Linked DNA regions of Arabidopsis thaliana. The protein of the gene in region 2 interacts with the protein of the main gene of each other region in a pairwise test. Each region holds a gene or a part of one and is shown on either strand. Other genes may lie near its edges. The genes, in order: SCL3 and ISU1.

What was found.
Region 1: the proteins of ISU1 (region 2) and SCL3 interact in binary tests that used the Arabidopsis thaliana proteins (3 or more experiments, as listed by UniProt).

The regions. Positions count from the first base shown.
Region 1 is NC_003070.9:18,676,943-18,682,325, reverse strand, and holds SCL3 (scarecrow-like 3), read left to right. Parts: upstream 1-2,025; 5' UTR 2,026-2,322; intron 2,323-2,563; 5' UTR 2,564-2,700; coding exon 2,701-4,149; 3' UTR 4,150-4,632; downstream 4,633-5,383. Other genes in the region: DWF5 (Ergosterol biosynthesis ERG4/ERG24 family), read left to right, coding at 85-151; AT1G50410 (SNF2 domain-containing protein / helicase domain-containing protein / zinc finger protein-like protein), read right to left, coding at 4,961-5,065, 5,149-5,358. UniProt on the Arabidopsis thaliana protein: Probable transcription factor involved in plant development.
Region 2 is NC_003075.7:11,758,453-11,763,202, forward strand, and holds ISU1 (SufE/NifU family protein), read right to left. Parts: upstream 2,606-4,750; 5' UTR 2,430-2,605; coding exon 2,132-2,429; intron 1,744-2,131; coding exon 1,689-1,743; intron 1,143-1,688; coding exon 992-1,142; 3' UTR 651-991; downstream 1-650. Other genes in the region: AT4G22217 (defensin-like protein), read left to right, coding at 173-248, 327-514; AT4G22230 (defensin-like protein), read left to right, coding at 3,840-3,915, 4,003-4,205. UniProt on the Arabidopsis thaliana protein: Scaffold protein for the de novo synthesis of iron-sulfur (Fe-S) clusters within mitochondria, which is required for maturation of both mitochondrial and cytoplasmic [2Fe-2S] and [4Fe-4S] proteins.

The DNA.
Region 1 (5,383 bases), on a different chromosome or scaffold from region 2:
CAAATCTAAATGATTTATTTTACACATCCTCTTTGATCTTACTCTGATTTGCTGACAATATTCGGGTTTTGTTTTGGTAAAAAGGTATGGGAAATATTGGAAGCTGTATTGTGAGAAAGTCAAATACAGGATCATTCCGGGAATTTATTGATTGTAACGAAGTCTGTTGTTCTCATTTTCTACTTATTACGTTAATTCGAACGTTGGAATCATCAAAAGACCGTGCCAAAACAAAAATGCAAATTGATGCGATAGACATTCTTTTGCTGATTTGTATGCTATAGGTTTTCAAATCTCTAGCTACACTTATGTATTTCCCTAGATTATCAAAGTTAGCCTGCCGTTTTCTAATTTTATTATTTGATATTTTGATTATACTGCTTCTTAATGCATCAAATAAGTTGATTCATCCATCTAATATTTTAACTACATCAAATGAAGTCTTTTATAAGTACAGGCACTAATTGAACTTGAACCCTATAAAATACATGAATAATCACAAAGAATTGATAGTGTTCTTTCAGTTTTTCAATCACAAAGAACTCACCGACATTATCAAGTTGACTTCACTTTTAGACTTAATTGGTGTTCTGGAGGATCCACAAAACTACTATTACACAGTTTTCACAAAATTGTGATTCTTTATTTTTTATTTTCTTTGGTCAAACTAACATTTCATTCAACTTTAAACGAGAGTTGCCTCCACGTGGAGAGTATACACAAAAAGCTACGAGGACAAATGCTCAAACAAAAAGACATAAGAAGGGGAGCTCAGAAGCTCAACCCGAGTAGCAGCATCCAAAGTTGCTAAAACAGAACCATCATTTACTTCTGAGGCGGTCTTCGTACCAAGCTCCTTCAGCAAAATTGTGATTCTATGTTTGGATATCATGAGATCTAACTACAAAGTTTTTAATAACAAAAACTTACCATTCTCTAATTTGTAGTCAAAGCTAAACAAATTTCATACTAAAACAATTTTACTGTGTTGTTATGGATGCATATTTTTCTCACTTTATAGTACTATTTTACTATTGATAAGATGAAAAAAAAGTTGAGGTACAATAGTAGTAAAATAGCATCATTCTTTTTCTGTAGAATCTCTCTGGTCAATGGTCTTTTTAGTTTAAAAACTGAATAATGTTCTCTCTCACACAGTAAAAAACAAAGAGAGAGAGAAAGAAGAGAAGAAGACAAAAATGTAGGCATTAAAAAGAAGAAAAAGACAAAGAGAAAAGTAATGAAAAGACAATGAACATTTAAAGAAGACAGACAAATCCCACACCCAAGCCTCAGCCTCATCTCTTTTATTGTTATTTGTTTTTCTAACAAAACAACAAAAACAAAAGAGATGGTTTTTGGGTTTTGTTTTGTCTTTGTTAGGGCGTGTTTGGACGTTTCCTTCTTCTCAGAATCAATATTTTACCAAAACAGCTTTCTTTTTTTCTCTTTAACAATTTTTTTGATGTAGAAATATATAGTCATGATTCCAAATCCACCTCATGCCATGACAAAAACCCATAAAAGTGGAGGTTCCAATCTCGAATACAGACATATATGTTGTATTCGTGTATGTATCTATTATAAGATAATTCCAATTTGTATAATGCCAAATGGGTTCATTGAACTTCTTCTTCCTTCATAATTAAGTGTTGCTTTTTCTTCTTAGTTCCTCTAAATCAAGAAAATTCTAGGTGAAACTTCTCTTATCTTGACTTTATATAAAATAATAACTATAAAAATAATCAATAAGACTAATTCCTACAAGTCTTACAAATTTAAAAGAAAATGAAAATGCAACATTAGCTAATACACATAATAGTATAAGATTGATGGATGTATTCTTATTCAGTTTTATTTATAAATGCAACATAAGCTAATACACTCTCATTCAGTTTTATTTATTAATGTTACACCACTTTAAGAGCACTCAAAATCAAAATACGTATTCTTATATGATATTCATTCATGTAGTACTAGTACACATAATAGTATAAGATAGATGGATGGGATTGGAAAATTTGACAACCTTTTGTTTAATAATTCCTTAAAACCAAGGAAAGAAGAAAGAGGAAACGAAAAAAACAAAAAGGAAGAAGACAAAACCGACTATCACGCATTGTCTGGTACGTAGAGCCAAAAGGAACAATGCCTCTGTTTTAGTGTTTTCTTTCTTAAAGTTTTTTCCCAAAACACAAACAACATTTCACACACACGCTATTACTCACAAGATAACCACCAGAGACGTGGATAGAGAGATAAAGATTGAGAGAACCCTCTCACTCCCAAAAAAAAAGCTTTAGACATTTTCTCTAAATCCATGTAAGTTTTTTTCTTTGGTTATTGTTGTTTGTTATCTTCTTTGATCATTTGCTATTATTTTGTTTTGTTTCTTTCTTAGTTTATCAAATTAGGAAAGTTTTAATTCAGCTCTCTGTTTGTGTTTCTTCGTCTATATCTATTTCAAATAGTTTAACTAGATTCAAAGGTTTTTAAAATTCAGTACTTTCTCTGCAAACCCTAGTTCCTCTGTTCTTTAACCCCCTTTTTTGTTAAACTGCAGATTCTCTGCATCTTTCAAGAAATTCCGAATCGTGGGTTTGGTTCTTCTCGTTACGAGTCTCTCAAAGTTTAAATCTTTCTTTACAAAAAAGGTTACTTTTGGTTCTGAGTAAATCAAAATCAAGCTTTTGGCCTTCAATGGTGGCTATGTTTCAAGAAGATAATGGAACATCTTCTGTAGCTTCATCACCACTTCAAGTCTTCTCAACTATGTCACTCAACAGACCGACTCTCCTCGCTTCTTCATCTCCGTTTCATTGTCTCAAAGATCTCAAACCAGAGGAGCGTGGTCTCTACTTAATCCACCTCTTGCTAACTTGTGCCAACCACGTGGCTTCAGGTAGCCTCCAAAACGCTAACGCAGCGCTCGAGCAGCTCTCTCACCTCGCTTCTCCTGACGGCGACACGATGCAGCGAATCGCTGCTTACTTCACCGAAGCGCTTGCTAACAGAATCCTTAAGTCCTGGCCTGGTCTTTACAAGGCTCTTAACGCAACTCAGACAAGAACTAACAATGTCTCTGAGGAGATTCATGTTAGAAGACTCTTCTTTGAGATGTTCCCGATACTCAAAGTCTCTTACTTGCTCACTAATCGAGCTATACTCGAGGCTATGGAAGGAGAGAAGATGGTTCATGTGATTGATCTCGATGCTTCTGAGCCAGCTCAATGGCTTGCTTTGCTTCAAGCTTTTAACTCTAGGCCTGAAGGTCCACCTCATTTGAGAATCACTGGTGTTCATCACCAGAAGGAAGTGCTTGAACAAATGGCTCATAGACTCATTGAGGAAGCAGAGAAACTCGATATCCCGTTTCAGTTTAATCCCGTTGTGAGTAGGTTAGACTGTTTAAATGTAGAACAGTTGCGGGTTAAAACAGGAGAGGCCTTAGCCGTTAGCTCGGTTCTTCAATTGCATACCTTCTTGGCCTCTGATGATGATCTCATGAGAAAGAACTGCGCTTTACGGTTTCAGAACAACCCTAGTGGAGTTGACTTGCAGAGAGTTCTAATGATGAGCCATGGCTCTGCAGCTGAGGCACGTGAGAATGATATGAGTAACAACAATGGGTATAGCCCTAGCGGTGACTCGGCCTCATCTTTGCCTTTACCAAGTTCAGGAAGGACTGATAGCTTCCTCAATGCTATTTGGGGTTTGTCTCCAAAGGTCATGGTGGTCACTGAGCAAGACTCAGACCACAACGGCTCCACACTAATGGAGAGGCTATTAGAATCACTTTACACCTACGCAGCATTGTTTGATTGCTTGGAAACAAAAGTTCCAAGAACGTCTCAAGATAGGATCAAAGTGGAGAAGATGCTCTTCGGGGAGGAGATCAAGAACATCATATCCTGCGAGGGATTTGAGAGAAGAGAAAGACACGAGAAGCTTGAGAAATGGAGCCAGAGGATCGATTTGGCTGGTTTTGGGAATGTTCCTCTTAGCTATTATGCGATGTTGCAGGCTAGGAGATTGCTTCAAGGGTGCGGTTTTGATGGGTATAGAATCAAGGAAGAGAGCGGGTGCGCAGTAATTTGCTGGCAAGATCGACCTCTATACTCGGTATCAGCTTGGAGATGCAGGAAGTGAATGATATATTACAGTTTGTCTTCTATTTTGGTTATGAGCAGAGTCCCTTTCTTTTTTGTATACATGGGGACACAATCTTAGTTGTTTTGTGATGGTGACTTTCTGTCTCTTTATGCTATTTTGGCTTAAATGCTTCTACTGCCTCTGCATGTAAAGCCTTTGTGTGTTGGTTCAATTTGGTCTGGTGTGGGTGTAATACCAAACCAAATCCAATTTGAGCTGAAGATAACTAATTTGATGATCGGTTCAAGTTCAGAACTCCAAATTCTTTCAGAGACCAGCCAAACTTTGCCTATCTTTAAGCAGGTGATCTTGTCATTTGTGTATTGTAAATAACTTAAACTCGGTATATATATTTAGGTTACTAAAGGACATGTTCACTATCCAAAGAGTATACGACTTATCTGCTGTCCAAATACTTTGTAACCTAAAGTTCACGTGCTTCATTTACATTGAATCTAGTTTAACCTAATCTTCTTGCTTCATTTATATTTGAATTTTGTTTAAGCAATCTAGTCTTTATCTTGTCTTAGCAAATTCACAGAGTGTTTCTCATGCAAAAGTGTTGCATGATCAAAACACCTTGATAATAAGATTGAAAGAGTAATGTGATCCCAAAAGGAAAGAAGATCTCGGATGAACTGATTCAGAAAAAGTATATACTCTGATGTTATATATACTATGAGACAACAGCTAAGTTATTTACATATTTCCTCATTTCAAATCTGTGAACCTGAAGAACACAAGAATGCAGCTCATGATCAAAATTCTGAAAGAAGCGAAACTTCGCCAACCCAAGATTTAAGAACAGCTACACCATGAATAGATATTTGAGATCATCAACTGTTAATCGAGTTGCAGAGCTTCCACCATGATCTTCACCAAAGGCAGACGCAACCATTTTTCTTTTCTCTTCCTATAATAATAACCAAAAATCACACAACCACAAATGAGAGAAACTGAGGGGGGAAACAAGTATCAGCTATAAGGGATCTTTACCTGGAGAGCCAAAATTCTATCCTCCACAGTATTTTTTATCGTAATACGAGTTACAGTAACAGGTCGAGTTTGTCCAATACGATGTGCTCGATCAATAGCCTGATCTTCAGTAGTTGGATTCCACCATAGATCAAGAAGAATGACATGACATGCAGCAATCATATTCAGCCCAAGATTTCCAGCTTTTAAAGACATTATCATCACTTTTACCTGTTTAAGACAAAAAAACAAAAAA
Region 2 (4,750 bases):
TGGATAATGTTTGATTTGTGTCTAGAAAATATAATTATAGGCGAGGTGGATCACATCGTGGAGACTCTTAATTAGATATTAATAATGTAGAAGTAGTGAAGAGAAAATGTGTTTGGTTGAGACGTATAAATTGAAAGCCTTTTGCTGATAAAATCACAAAGAGAGATCAGCAATGAGGAGCTTGAGGTTGAGAACAGTTGTTGTTGCTACAATAGTCGTTTGTCTATCGGTCCTCCTATCTCCCACCGGTACGTAAAATCAAGATCTCTAACTACATAGATACACAAGTTTTTGTTATAAATGTATGTGGCTGTTCGTGTCGACAGAAGTGGATGGAAGCTGTGACTTCCCATTAGGTGCTTGTACTCCTTTCCGTGATTGCAAGGAGAGTTGCATCAAGTTCAAAACGAGGGCTGGACAGACTTTTTTTGATGGCAAGTGCCGTCCAAGGGATAGGCCGAGCGTGTGGACGGCTTGTTTCTGCTGCTATTATGATAGTATCGGTGCTCAATAAGAAAACATGTGATTCCGAAACCATATAATCGACATCGCTTTGTTCTACTCTGCTTTGCTTTTGTTTGTTGTACTCTGCTTAATCCAATAACAGAGATAACGTTTCGAATAAAGGTTGGATGTTTTGTGACAATTCAGGAACAGAGAGATGATAAGTCAAGCTACACCCACATAGTTCCATGCAGAGAAAATTATAATGTCAAAATTGAAAATTGAAAATTTGTCTGTCAAAGTTGTAATTTATAAACCTCCCAAAGAAGAGAGAAAACATTACATCACATCGGTGCATAAAACAGCAAAAACTACAGGGCCGAAGCAAAATCATTCTTACACGTTTCTGTGAACAGAGTTTATTCTAAAATACTCCTTAAGTCTTGAACATTACAACATACCATAGGTTGTATGTATCATCCTCTTCTACTTCTCCCCTGTTTTCACCATCATATACACATTATGGTATACACACTAGTAAAAGGAATCAAGCCTGTGTGGTTTCTCCTGCTGCTGCAGCACCATTTGTCTTCACACGCTTCTCCTTGTAGTCTTTCACAGCTGCCTTGATAGCGTCCTCCGCCAACATACTGCAGTGGAGCTTGACTGGTGGGAGAGAAAGATGCTTTGCGATTTCGCTGGCAAAATAAATCACAGAAAGAGAAGCACACATTCAGAGTAAGTCTTCAGATATTGAGAAACTCCATGACAGAAATCACAATGTTTACTTTGTCTAAGAAAAAGAAGTCAAGAGGTCTGCATCATTATAGGCTGGAAAACCTTAAATACCATACAAACCAAACCAGTAACCAATCTCAGACCAATTGACCAAAATCCAGTAACTAAGTTCATCTAAACAAAATAATCACATTACTTCGTCTCAGGTATGTCAACATTCAATGAGTGCAGCAATTAGATAACACGAGTGTTCATATTTATGTTAAAAATCTGCAAAACATGAATAGGAACACAGGGCATACTAACCAGCAACCAATATTGTACCAACAGACAAAGTCCAGTGACCAAGTTCCTCAAAACAAAATAACAGTCATGAAACACAGTAACTGGTATATCAACATTTAATGAGTTTAACCAATTAGACAACACTGATTGGCATAACACAACAACTCACAACAGATTATGTTAATATCTGCATAAAATGAATAGAAACAGACGGTACTTACGTGTTTTTGATGGTCAGAACATCCTCCATAGCTTTGCCTTTCACCCATTCAGTGGCTGAAAAAAACGTAAAAATGAATCATACATTAGATAACAGCAACAAATCCCCAGAGAGAAGATAGCTCCCACATAGAAGCTAAGCCAGAAACTGACGACATCGCATCAAAAAGATGAAATCTTTCTCAATAACATTAGGAGACTAGGAGTATTACAAATTCAGCATTGAATCACCAATAAAAACGTCTCAACTGACCAAATCATGCACTAATTTGTCATTAACGACACCAATCCCAAATTTGAACACCGAATCTCTACACGAACCCATCAATTTAAAACCTAATTTCTCCATTTGAGAAAGACTAATCAAAATCCCTAATTGAAATCATTTAATTTCTCTAATTCAATCCTCAATCGAACAAAACACGAAATTAGAATATAAACATACCAACAGATGAAGAAGCGATGGCTGAACCACAACCAAAAGTCTTAAAGCGAGCATCAACGATTTGACCAGTCTTCTCATCGACCTTGATTTGAAGCTTCATCACATCACCACAAGCGGGAGCTCCTACGAGTCCCGTACCAACGTTGGGATCATTCTTATCGAAAGACCCAACGTTGCGGGGATTATCGTAGTGGTCGATGACGTTCTCATGGTAGGTTCGGAGGATACCAACAGACCACGGTGTTGATTGACGTGACGTAAGCCCTAGGGCCTTCTTCGCAGCTTGCTTGAGCATCATCGTGTTTTTTTTAGGGTTTCGGAAGTAACTTTTGCTCCGCTGATTTTGGTAATGAGAAATGAGATCGGACTTTTCCTTTAAGGGTTGTGAGAAGAAGTCGGTTTGGTTTCAGACAGAGAGATAAGCGAGGGGACACGTGGACGGTTTAGATGGTTCTGAGATATTTGCTATTTCTTTTTTCTTTTCTTTTTTTCCTTTGATTTTTTCTTTTAGTATTAGCTAACTTGAGACGCTAACCTAAACTTTAGATTGAGATTTTGATAAGTTGACTTTTTCTTTTCAATTATATTTTTGATATCCTTCAAATGTTATAGTTTATAAGACCTATCGCTCATAAATCGTACTTTTCAAGTTTACAATTGAATCGGAACATACTTCTTTTACGCAAACAATAGTCATGATGATTTAGTATGTGTATAGAAAGTTCTCAAATTTCAAGTGATGAAACAGTCTATTTAAAATTAACCTTAATTCATTAACGTATAGTTAATCATAACAATTAAACCTATAAGTTATAGGCTATAACAACATTATAGGCGAATGTCTTCGTCTAGATAAGTTGTGAGGAGCCATCTACGACTGTGCATTGTCCTATGGTAAACATATATTTGGTTAATGGTTGATCTTGATCATTTGAAAAGTCGTTTTGCAACATTAACAAATATATTTGTCTGTTATTTTTAGACGGCACCACCGGAACGGATTGGAAGCAAGATCAAGTAATAGATCTGAGATTTGGAAAGCTTCTCGTGAAGCGAGTTAGATAGCAAATTAAGTTGAGGATTGAGAAATATGGATTTTAAAATATATTAATATGTATTTTTTAAAGTAGTACATATAGATTCGTAAATATAAAGTTATTTTAAGACACGAGTTCATTATGCATCTATACCGTGAAACATGTGGTACCGAGAAACAAACAAAAATTTAAGTTTCATTATGCATGCAATTGGTTTCAGATATAATATTTTTTTTTGGACAAAGGTTTCAGATATACTAATAAAAAGCAAAAACAAACAAACAAATATGATTGAAGGAAAAATGAATCAATGATGATGATGAGCGCTTGGTCTCCGTTGATTTAGCATCTACCACTTTCTTTGGCATTGTTGATTAGTATCTAAAAGTTGACTAATTTAATGAAGAAATCAAACGAAAGATTCTAAATATCTATCTTTATCTACACAATACAATAGTATTGATCATCTACAATAAGAGTCGGGGGTGTATTCAGTTAACTATTTAAAATGATTTGTCTTAAAATCATATATCTTACGTCATTTTAATCCCAACGACTTGTCCAGTGCTAGCTATAAATTAAAAACTCGCCTTTTGCCTAAATGAATCAATCACAAAGAGAGAGAGGGAAACAAAATAGAAAGAAAGAAGCTAAGAACTAATAAGCAATTAATGGGGAGCTTAAGGTTGAGCACAGTCGCTATTGCAGTAGTCGTTTGTCTCTCCATTCTCCTCATATCTCCTACAGGTACGTAAAAAAAACCAAAGTCTTTGATCCCAAGATCTAAAATAAAACATGTTTATAAAATGTAGTATCTTCCTATTGATTGGACAGAAGTAGATGGGAGGCAAGTGTGTGACTACGATAAAGGTGAATGTAATAGTTATGAGAAGAGCTCTACTTGTATTGAACCATGCAAGCAATTGGACAGCAAGTTTATTGGAGGCCGATGCATACCTGTTGGTGGTATTACTGGTATGGGGTTATGTGTTTGCTGCCGTGATGTACAGCGTGGTGCTGAAAAGGAAAGCATGTGATTTGCAAATGATACAAAACGACGTCACTTTGTGTCTGTGTTTTGCGATTTGCATGTTAATGATTTCAGCTCAAAATCTATATTTGAGTGTTTGCCTTCTACAGATCTGTTTGTTTTGAATTGTCAAGTCTTAAATAAAGTTGGATTGTTTTCCGATTATGACCTGACCTATTCATCATATTTTTTTATTTTTTTTATTTTTGTCTAATTGAAATCTAAATCGGAGGGGAAAAAATCAACAAAAAGAATTTTATACGAGTACATTAATTCTTGCAAATGTTAAATTATCCGTCTTATGATTTATACAAATAAGAATTGAATTAAGGGAGAAACTGATAAATACTTGTTCCTAACAAAGTTTAATAGATGTGTTGAGAAAACACACTTGTCCGTCGGTATAGACACTTATTCACCAATTTAGAACAATATGTAGATGTAGTTAGCTAGTTTATTAACTATAGTTTTTCTATTTAGCTAATTGATTTTATTTAGCATTTACCACTTTTTTTGGCATTGTTGATTACTATCTAAAAGTTGACTAAACAA